Mus musculus: one gene and its partners. The protein of the gene in region 2 purifies or fractionates together with the protein of the main gene of each other region. This does not show direct contact. Links are inferred from orthologs where the notes say so. Each region holds a gene or a part of one and is shown on either strand. Other genes may lie near its edges.

Region 1 (3,748 bases), on a different chromosome or scaffold from region 2:
TTTCCAGTTGGTACTTTATAGATTCAGGAAGAAAGAGTATGTCTTCAGAGAGCAACTTGAGGATCCTAAATGTGATTTGAGTAGTTTCGAATGTCTGCTGTTTATACGGACTGAAATGTAAGGGGCAACTCCCAATCTCCGGTACAGCTATTTCACTGTGGGACTTTTCAGCCACCTTGAGCATGGAGACCACACCCTAGATACTTGGGGACACCTGGAAGGTGAGTAAATAATTCTTCCGAAGTCACTCAGAAGAACCTCAGCAGGAAAGCTATTATTCTGATTGCATTTTTATTTGGATGTGTTCTAAACTTTGGTTTGTTTCTGTTGTTTTTTTAAAAAATGTAAATCGCATTGGAATCAAATGACAAAACATCAAAAAAGGGTAACAAAAATGTAAATAGAAAATAAGACAATAAGTCTGTTGAGTATTTAAAAACATTTATTAAAAAAACTGTGTGTGTGAGTGTGTGTGTTGATGTAGGCCTGATGAAGGTATTGGATTCCTTTTACTAGAGTTACAGGTGGTTTGTGAGCCACGAAATGTGGGTGCTGAGAACTGGCTTTTGTGACCTAAGCAAGATCAGTGAGCACCTTAATCAGTGTGCTAGCTCTTCAGTACAATGACCTTTTTTTAAAAAAAGAAAAATCTTTTGTAGGAAAAAGGTTTAATTTTTACATTATACAAAAAAGCCCCATTATTCTACAAAAACTAAAATGACAGTCTATTTTGTAAAACGGAAGTTGTAAAAGTTAACACTTATGCTTAAAGTGCCAAAAATCAAATGTCAGCACTCTTATTCCTAAAAAAAAAAATCAAGGAAAAGAGGAAAGCCTAATGCGCAGGCACCAACATTTCTCAGACAACAGATTCTCAGCTATGGTTCATAACAAAGAAGAAACCTCTCCGAAGAAAATGATAACCCAAGAAATAAGTTTTCTTCACCCAGCTGCAAAGTTTACCAGACAAGTTAGACTCTCCTACTTCCTGGAGGAGCTGAACTTGATTGCTCTGGTTTTGCCCGTAATCCAGTACAGGCCTTTCAGTGCCTCTCAAAGCTGCTCTTTATCCTCGGTTCCCTTAGTTTAAAAGATTCCTCACCCTCTCTTTCCCTTTGCCCCTCCTCTTGCTTACTTGATCTCTTCCCCTCCCCCACTTCCTAATCAGTCCTCCCGTCTCCCCTTTTCTCAGACTGGCTGGCTTTCCCTCCACACTTCTTCCCTCCCTCCTCCTTCTCCTCCTCCTCCTCCTCCTCCTCCCGGGCTCTTTCTTTCCTCTCCAGTCCCCTCCCCCAGCATGCCTCCCGGCGTGCTTCCCTTCCCCCGGCCTCGCGGTCCCGCACCCTCCCCTCCCCCGCCTCCTGCCTTGTGACACATCCTGGGCCCTCCCGGAGGCCGTAGCGGCGGCGCGGCGGCATTGCTGGCCACCACCTCCTCCCTAGCCGCAGCCCAGCTCAACCCGCGGCCCGCCGCGCTGTCGCTGCAGTCATGGCTGCTGACGGGGTGGACGAACGTTCGCCTCTGCTGTCAGCATCCCATTCGGGAAATGTCACTCCCACAGCCCCGCCGTACTTGCAGGAAAGCAGCCCCAGAGGTAAGGCCGGCATAGACCTTTCTGCTTCTCGCAGAAACGTCTGGAAGGATGGAAGGATGAATGCCGGGGAGCTCTAGCGCGGAGGCGGAGGAGAGCTTCTCCCTTGGGCTGGGGGAAAAGGATGCCTTCCCAGGCTCTGCCTGCCTACCCGAAAGCCTGTCTGCAGGGCTTCGCTGCTGCTGCTTGTGGTGTGGAGTGTGTGCTTGAACACTTCCTTCCCAGCTTCAGGATCGGACATGAATTTTCCCAAGCTCCGAGCTGCTGTTTCCAAAGCAGCCCCTAAGTGCAGCTGGGCGGTGGTGCAGATCCTTCAGTCATTCACAAGTGCTTTCGGTTGCTGAAAAACACGGGGCACTGCTCACCCTGGCATCTGCCCTTGAGAGGACTTCAGCAGGAAACATCTTAGTCCCTTACACTCGGCCCCGGAGTGCAAGCAGGGAACTGCCTAACCAGAAGCAACAGAGTTTATCCCTAATATGTCCGAAATTCCTAAGCTACGGGCATTGCTGCCTGTAAGGAGTGTGTTTCATAGCTTCAGTGGTGAATGAAGAGCCTTCCGTTAGGAAGGAGGAATTTTTTAAATGCATGTCTGGGTGAGGTTGAAATTAACTTCTAAAAAGTTCCCCAAGTTTATACCGTATATATTTTTAGTTTTGTTTTTCAGTGTAGAATTAAAAAGGGATTTGGAGAAATGGTGTGGTGAAGGAGAAGTCTCTTTACCAAAGGATTCGATTTATTCAAGCACTGTCTTTGTTCAAAGTCTTTGGGAGTGTTTACTACGGTAGTCTGGAAGGCAAGCCTTACAGAGATCATTAAATATGGCACGTGCAAGCGTACCTTACTTCATCTTGCTCTTTTGGCTGGATGTGAATGAAGTTTAAAACCCAAGGAGGCCAAAGTTAATAGTGTTTTGGGAATATAAGCAGGTCACGTGTCTTGTAACACAACTTCTAAGTTCATGTCTGAAATGGGGCAGGGGGGGGCGCGGGGGGGGGCGGGAAACACTACAACAGGTTGAAGTTGTCTGGCATTTAACATTTCTTTTTAACATTTTATAACTTGAAAATCAACATTCTGGGTCTCAATCTATAAACAGAAGCAGAACAAAGGAAAACTGTGGTTAGCTGGGAGTAATTCAGAGTGATTGACAGCCTGAGAGGAAAGGGGCAAAGTCCAAGGGAACTGACACACAGAAAACGTACAAGTGACCCTTGTTGGCCAGAAGTCGGGGGATTTCCCTTACTGGCCATTTGATATTAATATTGTACTATCTAATCCTTAGTCACAGGTTCCTGAATGAGTGTTTCAGTTTTATTAATTTTTGTCTATGGAATAAAATTGATGATTTATTAAGGGACTGAGTTTGGACTGAAGTAATGGAAATACCTTTTCCTTATTTTAGTCAATCTGTGTTTAGGACAAACACACACACACACACACACATATATATATGTATATATATATATGGACCTGCATAGACTTCATTGTTCTCTATAGATTTCCTTAATTTGATCAGATTCCTCAAACTACAAAGAGAGTGGCATTTCCAATCAAGCACTGAAAAGAAGTCATTTTACTCTAAAGATCTCTTAACTTAAAGATCTTTTAACTCCTTTGGCCTAAGAGTACAATAATTTTTTTTTTGGAAACGATGGAGATATTTAAAACACTAATATATGGGATAACATCTATGAAGGAAGAAACGTAAATGAGAAGCAAAGTCATTTTTTTTAAGATTTATTTATTTATTATATGTAAGTACACTGTAGCTGTCTTCAGACACTCCAGAAGAGGGCGTCAGATCATGTTACAGATGGTTGTGAGCCACCATGTGGTTGCTGGGATTTGAACTTTGGACCTTCGGAAGAGCATTTGGGTGCTCTTACCCACTGAGCCATTTCACCAGCCCAAGCAAAGTCATTTTATTCGCATGATGACAGTATCTTTTCTTGATTACTAACAACTATTTGAGTAATACACACGTTCTAAATCTTGGACACTGTCCCATTCATTCATTCATTCATTCATTCATTCAGGAACTTTATGGGCCCTCACAGTATGTCACATGCTACACTTCTCTGAGTCAGGCTGACTAAAACTGGGCCTTTATGGAGCTCAGGTAGTGGAGAGAAAGAATAAATTCCAGAGTGATTC
Region 2 (3,748 bases):
CCAAACCCTTCAGTGGTTCCTCTCTGTCTGCAGTGTGAAGTCCAAGTTCCTTAATGAGGGACTCTTTGTTACGATCCTTATATTTTTACAGCCTCCTCCCGGGTCACTGCCTTAAACCTTTTACTGTATAGAGGTGGGTCTGAGGTCAGCTATAGGTGGGAGACCTGTGTAGTGTCCTCTTGAGATCCCTCGTGAAACAAGGGACCTTGCACTTCACTTTGTCTTGGACCACGTATATTTTGCCGGTCTCCCCTGCTTGTCTTTCCCTGAACCACTCTTGCAGCTGTAGTTTTAAAGTTTGTGCAGTCTCTTCCATCAGAAACAGCCTTTCCACTCCACCAGGAACACCCGCCATCATCCTTCCTTCTGCAACTTTTTTTTTTTTTTTTTTTTTTTTTTTTGGCTTTTCGAGACAGGGTTTCTCTGTATAGCCCTGGCTGTCCTGGAACTCACTTTGTAGATCAGGCTGGCCTCGAACTCAGAAATCCGCCTGCCTCTGCCTCCCTGCTGGGATTAAAGGCGTGTGCCACCACGCAACTTTTTGTTTACTATTCAATGAGTGTTGCTTCCTCTCCCTTCCCTGTCCCAGTCGTCCAACAAGAATCGGGTGCTCAAAAATCGTATTTATCATAAATGGGAGGACAAAATGTGACGAGAGCCTCAAGAGACCTGTGACCTTCTATATGTGGTAAAGGGAGAAAATGGTGGGAAGAAAGTATTTTTTTTAACTACTTTCGAAACGCCATCGGGAAGGTGCTAGGACCTGTTCCGCGCATGTGTTCGTTCTCTAGCTGGGGGCTCCGCGCCAGGCTGATGAAAAAGCAGCCTAAAACGGCTCTTGGGTGCCCCCTACCGCCATCGTGCAAGTGTAACATCCCTTCCTGGAGATCACCCGGCCGGAGCCCGCCTCTCGCCTTCCATTGGCTGTCAGCTATTCTCCCGCCCCTCCGGTACTCAACCAATCAGAACATCGTGATGGGCGGGGCTTTCAGCAGAGGGGCGGAGCGTGGTCTTGGATTGGCTCCGCTGAAGACGGCGACGTGGCTGAAGGAGGCCGGTTTGTTTCGGAACTGAGGCTCAAGCACAGCCGCTCAGGATTGGTGCTAGGCTGGGCCGGGGTCTTTGGCCGGAAGCGGAAGTGGAGAAAGGATGCAGGTGTGGGGACCAGGGCTGGAGAAACTGGGTCTTCTCTGGGATTCCTGTCCTGCCTCCTCAAGTCCTCCCGTCCTCTGTCGGGTGCTCTGCCCCTGCAGGGTGGCGGTTGGACTCGTGGAATGAGCGCGCGCGAGGCGCATCGCCTTCCCGCGTTCACGCCCTCCCTCCCGGTCGTATTTCCCACCAGGACCATCAGCACGTGCCCATCGACATCCAGACCAGCAAGCTGCTCGGTAGGAGAGGGCGCCCCCGCGCGGTCGGCTCTCGGGGGAGGTCTGCTAGTTGCCCCCTGTCACCAACCAGCAGCCAGGAGCTGTGAAAGTCCCAGCTGAGGTGCTTTACTCCAGCGAACTGTTTGCTCTGCAAGGAAGGAAGCATGGAAAGTCTGTACTGGCTCCGTGTTTTCTACTTTTAACGTTTCTCACGTAGTATCAAATCGTATTCAGGCACACAGGACAAATGGATAGTGTTAAAGATGGACAGTTAAGCAAATGGCTGATCCATTTGAAACCTAAGTCTGTTTGGTTCTGTCTTCATGCATTTTGCATTATTTGGGGTGGGTAATCCTCTCCCATCTATTTAAAAAGTTTCTCTCCTTGGATTTAGGGAGAAGAGGGCCCTAAGACTCACATACAGACCTTTTATGCCAACCATGGTGGTTCACACTGGTAACCATAATACTTGGGAGGCCGAGGCAGGAGGATTGGTGGCAGTTCTCAGACAGCCTGGCTTGCATAGCAAGTACCAGCCTAGTACTCCCCGCCCCCCACCCCCACCCCCCCAAAAAACCTTTAGTCTTAGCACTCAGAAGGCAGAGGCAGGCCTTGGCCACATAGCAAGCACCAGGGCAGCCAGGACTACATGGAGAGACACTATTTCAAAAGAAAATGACAGAGAGACAAGAAGACCTTTTAGTGACCAGGCAGTCTCTGCATCTGGCTTACATCCCTCATTCTGTCACTTCTGGGGGTGTGTACAGCCCCTGGCCCTTGTGTTCACCAGATACGCCAGTCCACTGGTAACACGTCCTTAAGAGGGTGTTTGCCGACCTCAGCCCCTGGAGGAATTCTGGTGTCTGCTGTTTTCCTTTCTGACAACTTGAGAAGAACTCAGAGTCAGAATTTCTGATACTGTTGTTGCTTGAGAGAAATTAAGCGGTTGAAAGATTTGTTTTAAAGGAGAGGGAGTATTCAGTCCTTTGATGGACACTGGTGAGTCCTCCCAAGTGCCTGCCAGGCACGGGCCACCATGTATTCATAGTGTATGGGCACCCGCTGCATCTACCTGGGTGTGCCAGTTTGTCCTCGAGTCCTGAGAAGAACCAGTAGGACACCGCTCACCATGGAGCATTTGTTCCATCCCCGCTGCTATTTTATACTTGTCTTTGTTAAGATGAAATCACTAAGGTTTTGTGAGCCACTGCGAGGCACAAGGCTCGGTGCATAGGGCCTCATCTGATGTGTGGGGAAACTGAGGTACAGAGAGATGGAAAGGAACTGAGAGCCAGCAGGATGGCTCAGTAGGTAAATGTTCTTACCGGCAAGTCTGATGACCTGAGGTCAGCATCAGGACCCCTGTGATGGAAGGAGAGGCTTAGATCTCAAAAGTTGTCGTCTGACCTCCACTTGTGAGCTGTGGCACATGTGCATACATACATTTATGTGCATACAGAGTAAATAAAGTTAAAAACAGACGAGCGGGGCTGGTGAGATGGCTCAGTGGGTAAGAGCACCCGACTGCTCTTCCAAAGGTCCGGAGTTCAAATCCCAGCAACCACATGGTGGCTCACAACCATCTGTAACAAGATCTGACTCCACTCTTCTGGAGTGTCTGAAGACAGCTACAGTGTACTTACATATAATAAATAAATAAATCTTTAAAAAAAAAAAAAACAGACGAGCGACTAGGTTGGGCCATGATAGTGCACACCTTTAATCCCAGCACTGGGGAAACAGGCTTTCTGTGAGTTCGAGGACAACCTGGTCTATGTAGTGAATTCCAGAGGGCAACCTGGTCTACATAGTGAATTCCAGAACAGCCAGGGCTATGTAGAAAGAACCTGCCTTAAATAAATAAATAAATAAATAAATAAACCGTCAGCACCCTCCAGCCTTCGGGGCGCGGTAGGTGTTAGGGGCTTTGCAGTTGTTCGTTCATCCGGTACTTGGCATAACCACCTTGTGTTTTCCATTGTGGCGGTTAATCCCAGCCCCGAGGAAATGGAAGTTGAGCAGCACCCTCTGTCAACACGAAAGATATAATTACACACAGAAGCAAAATATTATGGAGACTTTAGAATGGTCAAAAGTGGCACTTTCATGTTGGGACCAATTTAAAGTTTTCCTTTATCCCTGTGTTAAGGCGGTTGCTCTGTAAAACTCATACGGGGATAAAGCCGGGGCGCCAGGGACTGTTTAGCCCAAGCGACTCTCTGCGTCTGTCTGTCTTTTCATCTCTTCCCATTCCTCTCTCTTAGCTAATACAAAGACTTTTGTTCAATATCCAGTATGTGGCACTTGAACCAGTGAATTCCCAGTGGGCAGTTAGTGGTATGGCGGGCTGTGGTGACCGGCTGGTTCTCGTGCAGACTGGC
Region 3 (3,748 bases), on a different chromosome or scaffold from region 2:
AAGGGCGCAGCGCATGTAAATACACAAGAGACAAAAGCCAGAAACATGCTAACTGCATCCATAAGCTACTGTTAGAACCCACACTTACTTCTTCTGCTGCAAACTTTAGCACTGCTGTGAACGGCGTACTTTCAGGAACACTGAGACTGCAACAAGAAAAGAAGAATTTCACACAGTTCATTTCATTGCAGATAGGGAACATTTGTTTGGGGCTGTGAAGGGTGTCTGTTTTCAAGGCAGCATTTGTGCACTGACGTTGAAAAAACACTAGAAAAGCAGAGTCCAGGCAAGGAACCACAGCTCTGTGCAAAAACCAACACCCTGCAAGCAGAGCTCCACCTTCTCTTTCTTTTCATGTTTCCATGTGTTTAGGCTTATTGTATGTTATGTGTATATGTGCCTGCTTCTGTGTGTACACATGTGTAGAGGGGCTGATAGAAGCCAGAAGAGGGCATCAGATCCTTAGGAACTGGAGTCATTGCCAGTTGTGAGCTAGGAATGTGGGTGCTAGGAATTGAACCTGGGTCCTCTGCAAAAGTAGCTGTGCTCTTAACAAACCATCTCACCTGGCTGGTGAGATGGCTCAGCGGGTAAGAACACTGACTGCTCTTCCAAAGGTCTTGAGTTCAAATCCCAGCAACCACATGGTGGCTCACAACCATCTGTAATGAGATCTGACATCCTCTTCTAGTTTGTGAAGACAAATGTTATAGACTTCCATATAATAAACCACCAAGCCATGGCTCCACCCAGGTTGGTAAAAGTGCAGACCATGGGCAGACAGACACTTAGATGAACCCTCTCTCTCTCTTCTTAAAGACACTGTGTCTTTAAGACGCTAGCCTCCAACCCAGAGAATTAGCTTGCCTTTGCCTCACAAATGCTGGGATTATAGGTGTGCTAGTATGCCCAGGAGGAGATCTGTCAGCAAGGCCAACTTTTCTATAGCCTTGGTCTATTTTATTGCTTCTCGTCTAACGTTTTAAAATAAAAATGTTAAAGGCAGTGTTAATTAAGTACAAAAACCAGACACCTCTCTAGCAGAGAAAACGTTTCTATTTGTCAACACATAAAACATCGATGTCATATAACATTTGTAGGGCTAAGCCTGGATTTCTCTTCTCAGAAGCGCAGATGAATTTTTTGTGCTAGCATTTTTCCTTCCAAATGTTAATTAATAACCTAATCCTCAGTAGAACAAAGCAGGAAGACTGTAGAAAGGGGCTTTCCCAACAGTAGCTATGTGCTTTCTTGTAAAGGCATGGGAGATGTTTACGGGCATTCCATAAAAGTGAGAGGCGTCCCCTCTGATTTCTTTTGAATGGTGGGAAAAGGAGCTGTGGAAATTTTGAAATAAGACAAAAATACTTTCTGTGGATAGGAAAATGAGAAAATTTAGGGGAGCACAGTCGAGTGCCAGTTATGAGGGTTTCACATAAAACTCATCAGCACTATTGTAATTTCTTCAGGAACAGAGTTAAGTGCAGAGAACATAAATTTGGTTTTTCACCAAGCAAAATATTCCAAGCTATCAGAGAGGTGGCTATCAGATTCCTGGGAGTTAGCAAAGAAACGATCTTTAAAAAAAAAAAACAAAAAACAACAAAAAAAACCTAGACTACAGACTTTCGTCTGCACACGAAATGAGTGGGTATGGCACTAGGGAGGCAAAAGTGACAGAAAACTTTTAACTTTTATTGTTGAAGGCACACTGCGGTACATCATCCAGAGGAAGAGAATACAGCCATCTGAAGACAACCGTTTAGAATGAGCCCTTACGGGAGAGACGAGGGATACGTAGACCATTTTAGACATGGAAAGATAAGGGAACCACAGGCCACGAGGCTGAATGGATCACGGGTGGGAAACTTCAGAAAACGATGACAGCTGCTCTCAGCTCAGTTAGCTGGGCCTTGGTGCCACCAAACCCGTCATGAATGAAATCTATGGAAACCCTGGTCTGTCGCAGGTTAGCATAGGTCTTCCAGCTGCAGGAACTCAAAAGGGGTCAACTTAAAAATCATACTAAGATGGAGCTGGGTAACCTGTGTTAGCCATCAACTGAACTGCTGAAGCACAAGGAAGGGCCCAACAAGGACACAAGGTCCTACACCCCCATTTCCCAATCCCGCTAAGCACTTTTTATAAAGATCCAAGTGTGTGTGACTGGGAGTTCAGCACCTAGGCACCCAGTCGTTGTGTTTATACACAACAAAGCAAAAAAACTGAAGTTAAGAGTGTTCGGGTCGGACCTGTCAAAAGTCCAGACTTGGGAAGTCCTCCCTAACTTCCGGTAACAGCTGGTCCAGGTAAAGACCTTTAAATCAAGTAAACGGGTTCCATCCTCGTCCAACCTTCTTCCCGTTGCACCTGCCCACCCAGAGCGTTGCGAGGGGCCACTGGCTTTCAGCAGAAATGCCGCACCCTTCCTCCTGTCCCCCTCTGTCCCGCCAGGCCCGGCCAGCTCCAGCCCTGCCTGTCACTCACACTTTGTACGGCAGCCGCGGGTCCGACGTCAACGTGATTTTAAAGGACACCTTCGACCTGCCGGAGAGAACGAGAAGGCGTTACGGTCGGGACCGGCCACGGGGTTAAGGCCGGGACACAGGGACGGATACTTACATGGTGGAACCGCCTGACACACACCGCGCCCAGCCGCCCGCCGCGCTTCCTTGATGGCCGGCAGCGGGGGCCTTCGCGGCCCACGTCGCCCTCCAGCGCGGCTATCCACACAGCGCCTGAAAATTGTGTCGGAGCTCACAGGCTACAGAAGGCCGATAGCCCACAGTTAGACATTTCATTCTGAGTGTGTCTGTATCAAGTTGAAGTGTAAATGGTAGAGAGAGGATATGTTTCTACTTTTGGTAGTTCACTGACACATTTTTAGTCAGGCAATATAAGGGATGTCAAACAGAGCGGCCGCTAGGTCCCCACTGGCTGGTTACGGCGGAAGTAGGGACTGAGTCGAAGCCGGACGTGGCGGCGGAACTGGGGCCGGGACTCAAGGTCCGGGCGGATGAGGAAGCGTTGCGGAGTTGCTAAGCAACCTAGCAGCCGGCACAGATAGATACTAGAGAAGCTGGACTCAGTTGCTTTAACTAACAACGTTCTTTGATCTTTCTAGCATTTCTGATAATACGATTTCCATCCGTATTAACCTTATAGTTTTCTTCACATACTTCACACTTCACTACAGACTTTTTAATAATTTCAAAAGAAAGTTATCACGATAGAATTATGCTGAGATTCCTGTTAGGGCCCAGAAGAAAAAATTGTATCCTAGCACTAGCAGGTTTTGGAGGGAAAAAAAAATCATTACTATATCCCGTTGTTCTTGATGTGTCCAAATAGACTTTAACTCTAATGCAAGGTTGCCAATCAGGTACATTTGTTCAGCTGACCAATGAACCTTGTGTACAGCAGGCACTAAACTAAAGGCTGAGCTCACTGTGTACACCAGACATAACCAAAGGCTGTGATCCCAAGCAATCAGGCATAAGTCCTTTAGCATCTGTCAGTCGGTTGGATTTCTATCGTGAGAGGGGAAAGCTGTCTTTCATCTTTATCACAATGTAAACGCCAAGATAAGCATTCCATCTCACAATAACTATACCTTTAAAAAATATATACTGCAGTAAGTTGATGAAGCCAGAAATAGGCACTGAACCAAGAGGAGACCCAGTCAAACTTTAGAATGACAGGTGGATTCTTCATGAGAAATCCTGATAGATTAGAAGCTCCCTTAAGA

The links. The genes of interacting proteins can lie anywhere in the genome.
Region 1: the proteins of Cdk5rap3 (region 2) and Pip4p2 purify together in Homo sapiens (affinity purification with mass spectrometry; 3 studies listed by BioGRID and IntAct, counting the BioPlex papers as one, with this or other methods). This does not show direct contact. The link is inferred for Mus musculus from reciprocal best matches to the Homo sapiens genes CDK5RAP3 and PIP4P2.
Region 3: the proteins of Cdk5rap3 (region 2) and Ufm1 purify together in Homo sapiens (co-immunoprecipitation; 3 studies listed by BioGRID and IntAct, with this or other methods). This does not show direct contact. The link is inferred for Mus musculus from reciprocal best matches to the Homo sapiens genes CDK5RAP3 and UFM1.

The regions. Positions count from the first base shown.
Region 1 is NC_000070.6:14,862,844-14,866,591, forward strand, and holds the start of Pip4p2 (type 2 phosphatidylinositol 4,5-bisphosphate 4-phosphatase), read left to right. Parts: upstream 1-1,375; 5' UTR 1,376-1,488; coding exon 1,489-1,594; intron 1,595-3,748. UniProt on the Homo sapiens protein: Catalyzes the hydrolysis of phosphatidylinositol-4,5-bisphosphate (PtdIns-4,5-P2) to phosphatidylinositol-4-phosphate (PtdIns-4-P).
Region 2 is NC_000077.6:96,913,791-96,917,538, reverse strand, and holds the start of Cdk5rap3 (CDK5 regulatory subunit-associated protein 3), read left to right. Parts: upstream 1-1,024; 5' UTR 1,025-1,149; coding exon 1,150-1,155; exon of another isoform or gene 1,156-1,342; coding exon 1,343-1,388; exon of another isoform or gene 1,389-1,488; intron 1,489-3,661; exon of another isoform or gene 3,662-3,742; coding exon 3,743-3,748. UniProt on the Homo sapiens protein: Substrate adapter of E3 ligase complexes mediating ufmylation, the covalent attachment of the ubiquitin-like modifier UFM1 to substrate proteins, and which is involved in various processes, such as ribosome recycling and reticulophagy (also called ER-phagy).
Region 3 is NC_000069.6:53,861,127-53,864,874, forward strand, and holds the start of Ufm1 (ubiquitin-fold modifier 1), read right to left. Parts: upstream 2,682-3,748; 5' UTR 2,625-2,681; coding exon 2,623-2,624; intron 2,545-2,622; coding exon 2,488-2,544; intron 147-2,487; coding exon 89-146; intron 1-88. UniProt on the Homo sapiens protein: Ubiquitin-like modifier which can be covalently attached via an isopeptide bond to lysine residues of substrate proteins as a monomer or a lysine-linked polymer.